Linked DNA regions of Saccharomyces cerevisiae S288C. Changing the gene in region 2 together with the main gene of any one other region gives a genetic interaction. Each region holds a gene or a part of one and is shown on either strand. Other genes may lie near its edges. The genes, in order: YTA12, IMA1 and ERP4.

Region 1 (6,075 bases), on a different chromosome or scaffold from region 2:
CCTGCAAAAAACCAGGTGGAATTCTTTGAACACAGGCCACATGGTCACATGAGTAATTCTAATATTATTGCATCAGGTAGTAAGCTGAGCTCTACAAATTGGCTCTATCAGCATTCTGCTGCGTGTAGTAGATTTAATAGCGATTTGTTTTATGATAGAGTGAAGGTTCTTCTTGTAGATCAACAAGGCTTGAGAGATGCATACACAAATATATTACACATACCAGAATCCACACAGTCAACCACTGTTTTAGGATGGAGGAGATCAAAAAACGATAGTCCCAGCGACACAAGCATTGTGTATGAGACCGTTATACACGATAACGATTTGAATAAACCGAAAACGGGACTGTCGGAAATCCCGAAAGAGATCTATGAAGACGTTGTTGATGAAGACGTTTTAAGGGCTATCACCGAACAACAAAATTTCGAAAAATGCAACGAATATATTTAGTATACTCAATGTAACAATATAACAAATTTTTATCTTCAAATCAAGGTAAAAAAATTCATATATTCTCACTTTCTTTTTCTTTTCTTGACTATTCATCTACATATGCATTTCACGCGTAAATAGGTTGATCTACAAACTTTGAATGAATTTTTCCATTGGCTCGTTGCCATTTACCAACGAAATGGTTTTTTTCACTGTTGCATTTGGATGTAGCAAGCTTTCCACAATAAAAGAAGCTACATCCTCCCTGTTAATGGAGTAGTTAACAGAAGCCTTCTCTTCTAATTTGTCAAGGGGTTGCAAAAGACCGGTACCTTTATTTAGTTCCAACGATCCAGGCTGTAAAATAGTGTAATCCAAATTAGAGTTTCTAACCTCACGATCAGCAGATCTCTTTGCAATATAGTATTCACGCAAACCCTTAATGTTATACCAAAAATCTCTATCCTCCGCCTTGAGCGCTGAAACAACAACGAACCTTTTGATACCAGCCTTTTCGCATGCTTCAACAACTTTGATACAGCCATCCAGATCAACCGTGAAAATTCTTTCCATTCCTTTACCACCCGCACCGGCGCTAAAGACCACGGCATCATAAGCCTTAATAGCGTCTGTGATCTCACTAACGGACGCGTTTTCTATATCTGTCAAACTAGCATCAACACCTACTTCATTCTTGAAATAATTGACTTGATCCTGTGTTCTAACAATCGCTAATGGTGTTGAGAAACTATCGTTGGCCTTCAATTGGTTTATCAATAAACGTCCAACTTTACCACTGGCACCGACAACCGCAACTTTCATAGGAGACATGGCTGTTAAGTCAATAATATATGAATACCGATGATATAACTTCAATGAATTTTTATTTGGAGGGAAAGTATCCTATTATGAGCGTCACGATGGGACTTTAAATATATATCCCTACTTCGAGTGTACCCTTACGTAATACTTGCAGCCCCTTGCTGTTGACAGCGCGATACAATTTTCGTACTAAACAATCACAGAGGTAACAGCAAAGTTTGGAAAGTACTTTTGTTGGAAAGTTATTACGGCCACTAACATTGTCTCGTCGTATTATTAAAAGCTATAACGTCGTATTTCTTTGCTCGCTTGTGTTTTGTGATACAGGAAACACACACCAACAGGTTCACCGAGGGCTGTTGTCTGTCTTTGTACTTTAACTCAAAGAACTTCTGTTTCACGATTTGTATTAATAGTTCTTGCAGGCTACTAGGCTGAATACGTTAAAATGGTTAGCAACGAATATAACCAGAAATACTTCGGGTACAATTCTGATACGTATATTTGTAGATATGTCTCGCTTGATGTTGCCAACTTTGTCAAAAATGGTAACGTATGGGCACACGGAATGTGCTAATCCTCGACTTTGCTCTTTCGTAAACCAATTTGATGCAAGTGCAGCGTGGTCTTTTGAAAGTGCATTATCTCATTGGGCGATGCGAAAACTCTGCCTACAGAAGTTCGCCGTTAGATAATTCTGATTGTAGAAAACCTACCAAAGAGAATAAACTAAAGTGTCATCTGCTAATTTATGATCTTATCGTCTGAGTGATGATGTATGTTTCTCTTTGTACGGTTCGTCTTGTGCTCATGTACGTAACATCCTCCATATGTGTGAATTATTTTGTCCGGCGTCTTGTTTGAATATCCCATCCGGACGTATTTCTTTATAGGATAACGCATGCACATATCGGTTCGTTCAATAAGAAAGTCCCTTCTGGTATTATTCGGTGTCCTGTAAGATCTATATACTAATCACCAAGCTATCTGGTGTCACATTGTGAATACATTTGTCTTTTGGTCCATTTTTCCCCATCATTTTCTCGTGAAAACGATCTCTAACTTTTGCCACTATAGTTTTAAAGGAAAGATTTTGAGCTGCCAACGAATACAATATAGCACACTCAAGAGTCTTGGCAAGCAACTTTAAAGTTAGAAAGAGTACTAATGTTGCTACTTTCTTGGTCAAGAATTGCTACTAAGGTAGTTAGAAGGCCCGTTCGCTTCCGGTCCTATTACGGCTTGACCCATATCAAGAGTTTACATACTCAATATCGGCTACTCAATAGGCTGCAAGAGAATAAGAGCGGTAACAAGAACGAGGACAATAACGAAGACGCTAAACTTAACAAAGAAATTCCCACAGACGAAGAGGTTGAAGCAATAAGAAAACAAGTAGAAAAATATATCGAACAAACTAAAAATAATACTATACCGGCTAACTGGAAAGAACAGAAACGCAAAATTGATGAAAGTATTAGGCGTTTAGAAGATGCTGTATTGAAACAAGAATCTAACAGAATTCAAGAAGAAAGAAAGGAAAAAGAGGAGGAAAATGGTCCTTCAAAAGCCAAGTCAAACAGAACAAAAGAGCAGGGCTACTTTGAAGGTAACAATAGCAGAAATATTCCACCGCCACCACCACCTCCTCCCCCAAAACCACCTCTAAATGATCCTAGTAATCCTGTATCGAAAAATGTTAACTTATTCCAGATAGGACTAACTTTTTTCCTCCTTTCGTTTTTATTGGATCTCCTCAACAGTTTGGAAGAGCAAAGTGAGATAACGTGGCAGGATTTTAGAGAGAAACTATTGGCAAAAGGTTATGTTGCGAAGTTGATTGTTGTCAACAAGTCCATGGTGAAAGTGATGTTAAATGACAACGGAAAAAACCAAGCCGACAATTACGGTCGCAACTTCTATTATTTCACAATTGGTTCAATTGATAGCTTCGAACACAAACTTCAGAAAGCACAGGACGAACTGGACATTGATAAGGATTTCAGAATACCTGTACTATATGTTCAAGAAGGCAATTGGGCTAAAGCTATGTTCCAAATTTTGCCAACTGTTTTAATGATTGCAGGTATTATTTGGTTGACAAGAAGATCGGCACAAGCAGCGGGCGGTAGCCGTGGAGGCATATTTGGTCTGAGTCGTTCTAAGGCTAAAAAATTTAACACTGAAACAGACGTTAAGATCAAGTTCAAGGACGTTGCCGGATGCGATGAGGCTAAGGAAGAAATTATGGAGTTTGTTAGCTTCTTGAAAGAACCTTCTCGTTATGAAAAAATGGGAGCTAAAATTCCTAGAGGTGCGATTCTATCTGGTCCACCAGGTACCGGTAAAACTTTGCTTGCAAAGGCAACAGCAGGTGAAGCCGGTGTTCCGTTTTATTTTGTTTCTGGTTCAGAATTTGTAGAAATGTTTGTTGGTGTTGGTGCAGCAAGAGTAAGAGATTTGTTCAAAACTGCAAGAGAAAATGCACCCTCAATTGTGTTTATTGACGAAATTGATGCTATAGGAAAAGCAAGACAAAAGGGTAATTTTTCAGGTGCCAATGATGAGAGAGAGAACACGCTAAATCAAATGTTAGTAGAAATGGATGGTTTCACTCCAGCTGACCACGTTGTTGTTTTAGCTGGTACCAATAGACCCGATATTCTCGATAAAGCATTATTAAGGCCTGGTAGATTTGACAGGCATATCAATATCGACAAGCCCGAACTTGAGGGTAGAAAAGCCATTTTTGCTGTTCATTTACATCATTTGAAACTTGCCGGGGAAATTTTTGATTTGAAAAATAGATTAGCGGCTTTGACGCCAGGCTTTTCTGGTGCTGATATTGCCAACGTTTGTAACGAGGCCGCCTTGATTGCTGCTAGAAGTGATGAAGATGCAGTAAAATTGAATCATTTTGAACAAGCTATCGAAAGAGTCATCGGTGGAGTGGAACGCAAATCCAAGCTACTCTCTCCCGAAGAGAAGAAAGTAGTGGCTTACCACGAGGCTGGTCATGCTGTATGTGGATGGTACTTAAAATACGCAGATCCTCTTCTGAAAGTCAGTATTATTCCACGTGGCCAGGGCGCCCTTGGTTATGCACAGTATTTGCCAGGTGATATCTTCTTACTAACTGAACAGCAACTTAAGGACAGAATGACCATGTCTCTGGGTGGAAGAGTTTCTGAAGAATTACATTTCCCATCAGTTACAAGTGGCGCATCTGATGACTTCAAAAAAGTTACTAGCATGGCCACGGCAATGGTCACAGAATTAGGCATGAGTGATAAAATTGGCTGGGTCAATTACCAGAAGAGAGATGATAGCGATTTGACAAAACCATTTTCGGACGAGACAGGTGACATTATTGATTCCGAAGTATACAGAATCGTCCAAGAATGCCATGACAGATGTACAAAGCTGCTTAAAGAAAAAGCAGAAGATGTAGAGAAGATTGCTCAAGTACTACTGAAAAAAGAAGTTTTGACAAGAGAAGATATGATTGATTTACTTGGTAAGCGCCCTTTCCCAGAAAGGAATGATGCTTTTGATAAGTACTTGAACGATTACGAAACGGAAAAAATCAGGAAGGAAGAAGAAAAAAACGAAAAACGTAATGAGCCTAAGCCATCTACAAACTGATTGATATTTCACAATACAAAGAAATGGAGGAAGACTGTTCTACATATCTTGCTTATTTTATTGAAAGCCAGACATCTTTCTTTTTCGGTAGAACACTGTCACGTATTTACCATATAATCTAATCTGAAAACATGTAAATATATATACGTGTATAAATGCACCTATATCTATATATGATCAAAGCGCTTCTGTGAGGCTGTCATTGGTTAATACACGCGATCTTTTTTTTATCGCTGATTCCACGGCTTAGCCTATCTTATCTTCAGTATTCGCATGATACACTTTTTCACTGCGTCGTTTTGTTGGATGATATCTGTCCGACAATAAACGTAGGTCATCTTAAGGGCCGGTGATAGAGAAGAGCATGCGGTTCCACTTTAGGCCAACCCACATTCCCAAAATATAAGAATACAGCAGCGATTTTTTTCTATCGAATTATTTTGTTTTTTGTCTCCTCTTTGTTCTTCACTAAGCTCAGAGCCCTAGTTGTTGAGGGAACAAGAAGAATGCAAACACTAGACGAGACTTCAAATCTACTCCCTCCACCTGAGGAAGCTGAAGCCCCTCCCTTGGAACAAAAATTTCATGAATATAATTTGGCCTTACCTAAGTTTCCCATTTTGTTTTCGCTATGGTTGGGTAGTTTTTTGAGTTCCTTGGATAGCACTATTGTCGCAAATATAATGAATAGAGTTGCTGAGGAATTCTCTGAATCAAGTAAAAAGCAATGGATTGCGACGAGTTTTCTTTTGACAAATACGGCTTTCCAACCACTATATGGGAAGCTTTCTGATATAACAGGGCGGAAGTCAGCATTATTAACCGCTCAATTTTTTTTTGGCCTTGGGTGCTTATTAACATGTTTTGCCAGAAACGTCACGGAATTCTCAATAGCAAGAGCCATATGTGGTATTGGTGCAGGAGGATTGAATGCTATTAGTAGCATTGCTGTTAGTGACATATGTACAGCAAGAGAAAGGGGCGTTTACCAGGGATATGCGAATATTGTTTTCGGGTTTGGTCAATTACTAGGTGCTCCGTTGGGTGGTGTATTTATAGAAACCATTGGATGGAGGGCTCTTTTTGGTATCCAAGTACCCGTGATAATGTTGTGCTCGGTATTAGCAATCAAAAACATTAATATTAAGCTATTCCATGTTCCTCCTATGAAAG
Region 2 (5,580 bases):
TAGAAACGGTTATCCATTTACTATTATCTGGAAGCTGCTTTCCACAGCTACCTACTTTGGAGTAATGGTTTCCGGGAAGACTTCATCCTAGAGCCTCTTGCTGTTGTTATTCGAAGTTCAGATTCGTAAATGGTAGTACGTTCTGCTTTCGCAATGAATAACTAGGTCACATAAGCCCTAAATGCGTCAGTAGAAGATCAGATGCATTGACCACATCATATCCTTCTAAAGTAATTAATTGAGATTTAATATTTTTCGTACTGATGAGAAAGCTAAACTAGTGCAACTATTATAGTCACATTTGTACGGAAAAGGCAGAAGCAAGAACAATGACTTGAAAGAGCGTATAGCTATTTAACCATTTCCATTTGTATGCTATAATTCAAGTATTTCCACACTCTTAACTAAAACGAATCAGAAGAGTAGGCTACTAAGAAAGATGGCTATCCTTAATAAGTACTATCCGACGTTGAATTGAAGATTAAACTGAGCCACACATTCCCATCTTCTGCACACTTAGTTCCTTATTTAGAGACTTTTATGATAAAAATTTCTTCCGTTCACTGTTAAACAACCTTGGGAACAATGCTGACTGTGCAGGAAAATGACCTATGTTTGAAGGATGTTGCCACATAATTGAGGCATGTTAGCAGAGCATTCCCTACCACTGGAAGGAGTGATGGTTGATGTATTTTCCATTGAGACTGTGACATTGTGATACGATACCTAATCAACGACCCTATATAACTCATTAAAAATGGCTTTCTAGAAGCTACATCTATTTGATTAAATTGGTTCCCATTTTCACAAATATTTTGCCACCTCTCCTTCTCGCCAAGGATTTGTACAAAATTAACAGACCTTTTAGAATAAATATTAAATTTAGGTCAGCAGAATACGGCCACCATCTCATTCTTTACTAGATCAAGCGTCAATTCCAATAATTATAAAAATATAAGTCAAGAAAGCATCTTTCTTCGAGTCTCCTGCATTCGGTTTGCGTTCCTCTCTCGTTCTGCTTGACAAAAGAAAGAGTTTTTTATTCTCCTAACCAATAAATTGAAGCAATCAGCTATAGGGTTAGATGTATTCGTTTTCCTTTCTGACCCCTTATGTCCCCATTTGGAAGTTCTAAACAAATGCCCTTTGGTGCCCAGTATATGTCAATGACGTCTGCTTGGCGAATCTCTGAATCATAAGTGTTACATAAAAATTAAGTATCTACGGCGCAGTACAACGCCTTCGTCTGGTTAAAATCGACTCTTCTGTCATTAACATAAGAACGTATAACAAAAAAAAAATTATATCAATGTATACATAAAGCTACCCAAAACAAACTAAAACATCACTTTTGTAGGGTTTCTTCGCACATTATCATTATTATTCTTTGAGAATACTCATTCGCTGATATATATTCTTCCTTCCCATGGCTTCAATGTTCTGGAAGAGGCATCTACCTCCTTCTTTGGATAGTTTCCAAACTCTAACTTGAACGATGAATCATCATTTGGAATCTTGAAATCTGTCGCATCAGAGCTAAAGTTCAAAGCCGCAAACAATGTTTTATTGTTGTACTTCTTTGTGAAGCTAAACAACTTCTTATTGTCTAAATCAATAAACTCGAAATCGTATCCGTACACAGTAATGTCTTTATGCGCCTTTCTAAACTTCAAGGCCTCCTTCCAGAAGTTCAAAACCGAGTTGGGATCCTTGATTTCATCTTCGACGTTAATGCCTTCTCTGAAAGAGTCGTTCAAGTAAAACCATGGTTTAGCACTAGGACCAGAAAAACCAGCATTTGGCTCCTCACGAGACCATTGCATAGGTGTTCTAGCATGGTCCCTGGAGATAAGGGCAATGGCTTCTAAAAACTTTTTCATCTCCTCTGAGTTTTCCCCATGCTCTTCTTTAATGGCATTGTAGTTGTTTCTGATTTCGACATCCTCGTACTTTTCAACAGGCCAGTTCTTGAAATTGATTTGGCCAAGCTCTTGTCCCTGATACACATATAGAGTACCGGTCAAGGCACTTAGCAACACAGAGAGTAACTTACCAGAAATAACACGGTTCTTGGGAGAATCGTCACCAAATCTCGTAATTGAACGAGGTTGGTCGTGATTTTCCAGATAGATTGTTGACCAACAATCTGTACCATTAATGTACCTGAACAGCTCAGCAAGGGCAATCTTCCAATCCTTCAGTTCAAATGGGACCAAGTTGTAACGGAACAAAGGTGAAGTCCCCACATCAGTGTGGGAAAAGTTAAATAACTCACTAAGTTCGTGTCTTGAAGCACTCGTATAAAGTCTCTTAGTTTCGTCGGAGGCATGTTGCATTTCACCAACTGTCATAATCTCCCTGCCATCCTTCACTCTGTTTCTGATGAATTGATTCATTTCTTGATGGAACTCGTGAATACGTGGTCCATTCAATGTGTATGGATCACTGGATTGCCAAGTCGAGTTTTTGTCAACAACAGGAGCATCTGGTAAACCTACAACTTTGGAGTACAAACTTCCGACATCAATTCTAAAGCCGTCTACACCATGGTCTAACCAGTATCCAACGGCACTTTCGTAGATTGCCTTTCTACAGTCTTCATTCTCCCAATTCAAATCAGGTTGAGTGGAGCAAAACAAACGCAAGTAGAATTCTTGTGTCTTTTCATCGAAGGTCCATGCGGAACCACCAAAATAGGATTTCCAATTGTTTGGAGGAATTGGCTTGCCTTCGGCGTCATAACCTTTAGGAGGTCTCCAGAAGAACCAGTCACGCTTTGGATTAGTCTTCGAGGATCTGCTCTCTTTGAACCATTCATGTTCGCTGGAACAGTGATTGATGACCAAGTCGGTGATAAATTTCATACCAAGCTTATGTGTCTTTTCGATCAAGGCAAAGCAGTCTTCATTCGTACCATATGTTGGCCAGACCTTTTCGTAGTTGGCAATATCGTAACCCATATCATCTTGTGGCGAGTCGTAGAATGGTGAGATCCAAATGGCATCGGCACCAAGCTCTTTGATGTACTCCAGCTTGGAGGCAATCCCTTTCATGTCACCCCAGCCATCGTCATTAGAGTCTTTGAAACTTGCTGGGTAAATTTGATAGAACGTGGCCTCTTTCCACCACTTTGGTTCTGTCTCTGGATGTGCAGAAGAAATAGTCATCGATAGTAAATATTACGTTGAAAAGCTTTGTTTGTATCTTGTTTGATCTGTGCTTGCTCGATTAATTTGAGACAGCTTTTTTATTTCAAAACAGGCGTCTAACCAAACGTCTAGCAACTCAATATCATTGCCCTTAAGTACTTTTTATTTCAAAAGGAGATCCTTTCTCATTCTGGGGTAAACTGTGGTATGACGAAAACCATGAAAAATAAGGAACATAATTTATCCGAGTATTTCAACGATCCCAAGTACTGACATAAACTTTAGTAGCCAATTTATAGCGTGGGGTGCCTACTTCGTCACATTTGATATCGTACAGCGAAAAAACATTAGTAACTTTATTTCCTTATTTCAGGGCCACTTTTCTCGAGAATAACGCTGCGTGCTGAGCGGTTGTTCACACCGCGGAGTTGGAAACTTTATTCTCCGAAATATTCTCCCCACTAAAATATCCTTACGTATTGTGAAACTTAGTTTTCTTTTTGTATTAGGGTGTAATTTCTTATTTTCCCTGTATTTCACCGCATGCAAATTCTTACGATATTTACTCCGGTAAACGCAGTTAAGAGCTATTGTCCGGTCCGACTGAATGAATATTCGGTTAGAAACGCATATTTGTGGGGAAATAACAACCTCAAAGATATAGACGGAGCAGTACCGTAAGGTTTACAGAATGGCATGACCACCCACAATAAAGCAAGGACCTCGAGACACATGCCTTTCAAAATAGAAATAAAGGTTTTCGAACATCATTTTTCGCTTGTTGTATAGTAGTCTTTACAGTAACAGTGCATCTGAGTACAGGAACGATTGTCTTGATAATATGTGAAAAGTGCACACGAAATTAGAGGGTGTCCTTTACAAGTATTCTTAGAAACACATTCAAGAGCACAAAAGTCGATGCTTTAAGGGTCAAGGTGGTGGAAAACTTGACTGGAATTCTTGACGAAAAAACAAGAAAAACGTGATTCGAGCAATCATAAACATACAGCCCCGTTCCAACCGGATCTTGAGGTTTCCCATTTTAGATGGAAATAAGCAGAGCAAAATAAAAATCTTGAACAAGTAATAGTGGTGACTGCAGGTTACGTTGGCATATAAAGTCCGGGTGACCTGGGTTTCCTGCACCACCAGCCCCCATATGCTAGCACAATGGGTTTTCTTTATCCCCGGTCATAATTACTCATTTTGCTATATTCTTCATAACTTAAGTACGCAGATAGAGAAAATTAATAATCTCGATATATATTAAAGTAAATGAAAAGTAGAAAATTTAGCCAGAACTCTTTTTTGCTTCGAGTATGACTTTAACTAAGCAAACATGCGCCAAGCAGGCATGCGACTGCTGTCGTATTCGTCGAGTGAAATGCGATGGTAAAAGGCCGTGTAGCAGTTGCCTACAGAATAGTTTGGATTGCACTTATCTGCAACCGTCGAGAAAAAGAGGTCCGAAGTCCATTAGGTTGAGGAGCTTGAAAAGAATAGCAGAAGTGCAGAGGGAAAGCGGTCCTAACACCATTGCAACTGCTCCTGTAATATATAAGAGGGTTCCCAAAAAGCTAATCGATCAGTGCTTGCGGCTCTATCACGATAATTTATACGTAATCTGGCCCCTTCTTTCGTACGATGACCTTCACAAACTTCTGGAGGAAAAATACAATGACAATTACGTATATTGGTTTCTGACCGCTTTATCAGCGGCCACCCTCAGTGATTTACAAACTGAAATAAAATCTGAAGAGGAAGTCACTTTCACGGGAAAACAGTTATCTAATCTTTGCATCTCATCGTGTCAGCAATTTGACGATTTGGATAACAGCAATATATTCAATATTATGACGTACTACTGTTTGCATCGTAGCTTTGCACAAATATCGAACGCAAGAACTTCTTACAGACTCTGTTGTGAAGCGGTCGGTCTGATTACGGTAGCAGGGTTACATCGGGAAGAAACTTACGGATCCCTTACATTTGAAGAACAGCAACTTAGACGGAAACTTTATTACTTGCTTCTCATGACGGAGAGATACTATGCCATATATCTTCATTGTGCGACGAGCCTGGATGCCACAATAGCACCACCGCAACTTGAACTTGTAACTGATCCTCAGCTTTCTATGGACAGTTTCCTTGAAATGATTAGGGTATTTACTGTACCAGGAAAATGTTTCTTCGATGCTTTAGCCGCTGACTCTACAGATGCTTCTTGCACTGAAGAGTCATTGAAAAAGATATGGAACGAACTCCACACAACTTCCTCGGAAATAGAGCCATGGTCTAACGGTTACATAGACATCTCATTTTCCCGGCATTGGATTAGGATACTAGCATGGAAGCTAGCTTATCAAATGAGGGGTAGCAACTTTTCATTGAACGCTAACAATGGGCAAATACCAATAGAAATTGCGAGAGA
Region 3 (4,422 bases), on a different chromosome or scaffold from region 2:
ATACATTAAAGTAGTAAAACTTCACCTATAACATTAGATTGCCCAACGCTGACTACTGTCTTCTAGATATGGAACTTGTTACTCCTTTCTAATAGTTTTCTTCGAAGGGCACCTTTTTTAGCATATGCGCGCAGTTTAGTTTGCAGTCGGGTAGGGCCAAAATTAGAATATCTTTTGTTACTTCCATTATCGCGGTGATCATTGCGGGCTTGTAGTGATTTGATTCGATTCATAATTTCATCCTTTTTAGACATATCAGGTTCCTGACGTGTGATTACTTGATTTTTCAATGCGTTTAATTTAACATCCAAATATTTAAAGTATAGTTTTCGTAAAATTTGTTTGTCATTGATATCTGTAAAAGTAGAGTTCACCTCCCAAGTGGAAACATCGGAAGCGTGGAAAAAGTTTGGAGTCTGTGTAGATGGTATATCTTTGTACCAGTCTCGTTTCATCATGTCAGAAATATATTTACGGGATTCGGTGTCGAGAATATCGTTCTTTTTTAAAGCAAAATCAGGTAGATGTGTAGTATTAGGATGATGGTGATAGAAATGCTTGACATTTACTTTAAATCCAACTAAGGAATTCAGGTGTTCCTCCAAAAGATTTTCGTTATATGAGCGGAGGTTTAGTAGCTCCTCTGTTAATTGTTCGTTCGAAGTATCCTTTACCAATAAAGATTTATCCTCGTACTCAGGTGACAACGGCAGGGCTACAATATTTAGCACCGGTTCGTTAAAGAAGCGGCCACTTTTGGATCGTTTTTCTTCAACTTCGGTTTTAAGCATTATTTTGCATTTTTCCCATTTCGTATTACTTGAGTTAAGTAACTGCTCAACGTGTTTCAAAATATTACTGAACAGATTCATAGACATCTTAAATTCCCTATTAGCCACCAAGCAAGCAATTTTCCTATCGTCCCTGTCATAGTGTAGAATGTAGTCCTCCTCACCATATATCCCTTTTGTGATATCATTCTTCTCCTTTAACAAACTGTCGAATTTGCTGTTATACGAAGAATGGATTATATAATCTAATTCGTCCAAAGGTAGATATTGGAATCCAAACATCTTAGAAATATTGTGGTATGCAACGAAAATACCGTCCATTTTGCCAATTCTAGCTTGCAAAGAATACTTTAGAAGGGCAGACCTGATTAGTTCAAAATATTCTCTTTCCAAAGACTCAAATTCCCCATAAACTTTATCTATCTCATATCCAGTTTGGTTGTTATTACTCTCTACATGTGATAAATCGTATCTTATGGCAGAAACTGCTCTTGTCTTCAGATCAAATACACCCGTTCCAGGTAGATTTGGGTCGTACGCGTCCAATTGAGATCTCACAATGAATTCATCTATACTAGAATAGTGATAATTTTCACTTTTTGAACTATTCTTCAGGGACTTTTCCGTTAAAAAGTCTTCAAGATAATGACCTAGTACAGAAAGCACAATCTCCCTATCCAGACTTCTATCTGAATCAATAGAACAAATGCCATTTCTCTTCTTTCTCAGAATGACTGCTGACGGAAAATATGCACTTTCTGAATAATTGCAGTTTTTTTGAGGAAAATTTTTCGATATCGAGGAATCAATGATATTCAATCTTCTGAAATTGGATAATAAATAGTGCAACTGAGAAAGTACTGATGTCATGGAACTTGATGAAGATATGTACTTTTTTCTATGTTCTTTGGCAACCTTTAACAGAGATTCATCTTTGTGGGGTGTGATGAATATTGGCTTGCTTTGTCCTTCTCCAGAGGAGTCTGTGTTCACATCTTTTTCACTTTTCTTTTCCAAATACTCTGGATTAATATTTTCCACTGCAGGGTCAAAATTATACATTCTGCTCCTATTATCTCTCAATTTTTGTAGCGACAACGGTTGGTATAACACTCTCGTTAATCCATGACCAATCCTAGGAGGCTTTTGGTTGTGTTTTTGAACACCATCTTGATTGTAACGTACTAATGCGTGCCTAATCTTCTGGACATTTATCCGAAAAGTGTATGAATTGCTATCTGAATATGTTCTGCTAGCGGGATATGTTCTCCTAGCGGGATATGTTCTCCTACCAGGATATGTTCTTCTACCAGGATACGTTCCTACCTTTGTCCGCTCCAAATACTTATCATGTCTATACTCCTTCTTTATATTTGTTTTCAGTAGATTAATCGCCTTGTCCATTTCTTCCGTATATTTTTGTCGACCTCCCTTTTCCTTGTTTCCAATGTCCTCTACAGTCGAATTTGTGTCATATATTTCATCGACCATCTCTAAAGCACTATGCAGGTCAGAACGTAGCTTGTCTGGTGTTTCTCTTCCACTAGGGGCATTTGTGAGAGCAGCGCCAAAGTGATAAATCGATCGCTGTTGATAGCTTTTAGCGGCGCTACCTATTCTGCAAGGCTCAACAGATAGACGTCTGGACAGGAATCTACAGTTGTAGAACCCCATTATCAAAACTATAAAAGTATCAGGTAGCGTTTGGCTCTTTTTTGTGCTCTCTCAAGTGCCCTGTTTATATTATATTTTTACATATTTGTTTCTTTATTAACCAACGGCATTGACGGAAACGCGCTTTATTATGGACTACTTTTTTTTCACTGTTTCCTGTTTTTTGACGTGATATACTCAAAGATGAGCGATTGACGATCTGAGAATTCTATTTGGGAACTCTTCTCTGCTTTGAAGACATTTATTTCCCAGCTGCCTTTGAAGTAGTTTCACGAGCGCTAGTGAAGTTTTTTCATAAATATATATTCCCAATCATCGCTAGGAATTATGCGCGTTTTTACTTTGATTGCGATTTTGTTTAGTTCATCTTTGTTAACACATGCATTCTCCTCTAATTATGCTCCTGTAGGCATATCATTACCTGCTTTTACCAAAGAATGTCTTTACTATGATTTATCCTCTGATAAAGATGTCCTTGTGGTCAGTTACCAAGTTTTGACAGGTGGGAATTTCGAGATAGACTTCGATATTACCGCCCCTGATGGCTCTGTTATCGTCACTGAAAGACAAAAGAAGCATTCTGATTTTCTACTGAAGTCGTTTGGTATAGGTAAGTACACTTTCTGTTTGAGTAATAACTACGGCACTTCCCCAAAGAAAGTTGAAATCACCCTCGAAAAGGAAAAGGAAATTGTTTCTTCCCATGAAAGCAAAGAGGACATAATCGCAAACAACGCCATCGAGGAAATTGATAGGAACCTGAATAAGATCACCAAAACAATGGATTATTTAAGGGCTAGAGAATGGAGAAACATGTATACTGTGAGTTCTACTGAGTCAAGATTAACATGGCTCTCATTACTAATTATGGGGGTAATGGTTGGTATCAGTATAGTGCAGGCATTAATTATTCAGTTCTTTTTTACCAGTCGCCAAAAAAACTACGTATAGGTTGCTTTTCAAGCTCTTAAAATTGTTGGATCAGCTGTGCTAAGGGGAAGGCACTTTTTTGTATCATGATCCTATTTTTTTTGTTATTTAATTATTTATGACATACCTTTATACTTTAGTTTTCAAAAATCCAATAATAGATAGGCAAGGTTTACGGAAAAGAGTGGAGTGCAAAATAAATAGAGGAAAGGCAGAAGGAAGAAGGAAAGCGAAAAGAAAAACGAAGATATATTTGGAGAAAAGTATAGAAATAATAAAATGAAGACACATCGATTGAAGTATGCTCAAATGATGAGAAAAAGAGACCTTTATCTCAGGCCACAAACAACCATTGTCCAAGTGGCTTATCTTTGCTATAGTTTTGTTCGAATATTCGGGGATTCTATCTTTGGTTTCTTCAACAAGTTGACCCCATTTACCAGTTCTTTTTTGCTCTTCATATACTGCTGCTCTTTTGAAATGTGGCATGCCCTAAACTTCCTCACTTCTTCGAGCTTGTAATGAATTGCTGTTTCACTGTATCTCGCTGTCACAATCATTTTCGTTCTCTTCATTTAATGTGTTATTCTCACTTGCTGTGTTGAAACTGTTTCTTAATTCTGGGTTTTTGATTGTGTATTGGTCCTTATCATTGTTAATCCTTAGATTTTTTACATATTCTTCAAGTTTGCTCCAATTTTCTTCACGTTGCACCTTACGCTGTTGAGTTTCTTTTACACTTGATAAGTACAATGCATTACAGTTTTCGTACAATACTGGGTTTGTTTCCAGAAAAATTTTCAATGCCTTGAATGCCATAGCATGAATTGCCCTATTCCACGAACCAGAATTGATTGCTTGCTCAACAAGCATGTAAGGGTCTGAAATGCTATCTTCGCCATTTGCTGTATCTAGCTCTAACTGAGAAGTTAATTCATATAATGCAGGAAATATAATGGGTAGGATGACTTCGGCATTTTCGATACATAAGTTTAAGAAATATTCATTATTCCAATAACTTAAAACC

What was found.
Region 1: mutations in IMA1 (region 2) and YTA12 together harm fitness more than expected from each alone (negative genetic interaction), as found in Saccharomyces cerevisiae (one large-scale study listed by BioGRID).
Region 3: mutations in IMA1 (region 2) and ERP4 together harm fitness less than expected from each alone (positive genetic interaction), as found in Saccharomyces cerevisiae (one large-scale study listed by BioGRID).

The regions. Positions count from the first base shown.
Region 1 is NC_001145.3:444,436-450,510, reverse strand, and holds YTA12 (m-AAA protease subunit YTA12), read left to right. Parts: upstream 1-2,424; coding exon 2,425-4,902; downstream 4,903-6,075. Other genes in the region: NPL6 (Npl6p), read left to right, coding at 1-453; YMR090W (uncharacterized protein), read right to left, coding at 583-1,266; VBA1 (Vba1p), read left to right, coding at 5,409-6,075.
Region 2 is NC_001139.9:1,065,825-1,071,404, forward strand, and holds IMA1 (oligo-1,6-glucosidase IMA1), read right to left. Parts: upstream 3,168-5,580; coding exon 1,398-3,167; downstream 1-1,397. Other genes in the region: transcription factor MAL13, read left to right, coding at 4,469-5,580.
Region 3 is NC_001147.6:359,455-363,876, reverse strand, and holds ERP4 (Erp4p), read left to right. Parts: upstream 1-2,792; coding exon 2,793-3,416; downstream 3,417-4,422. Other genes in the region: PET127 (Pet127p), read right to left, coding at 63-2,465; YOR015W (uncharacterized protein), read right to left, coding at 3,525-3,884; protein phosphatase 2A regulatory subunit RTS1, read right to left, coding at 3,930-4,422. UniProt on the Saccharomyces cerevisiae protein: Involved in vesicular protein trafficking.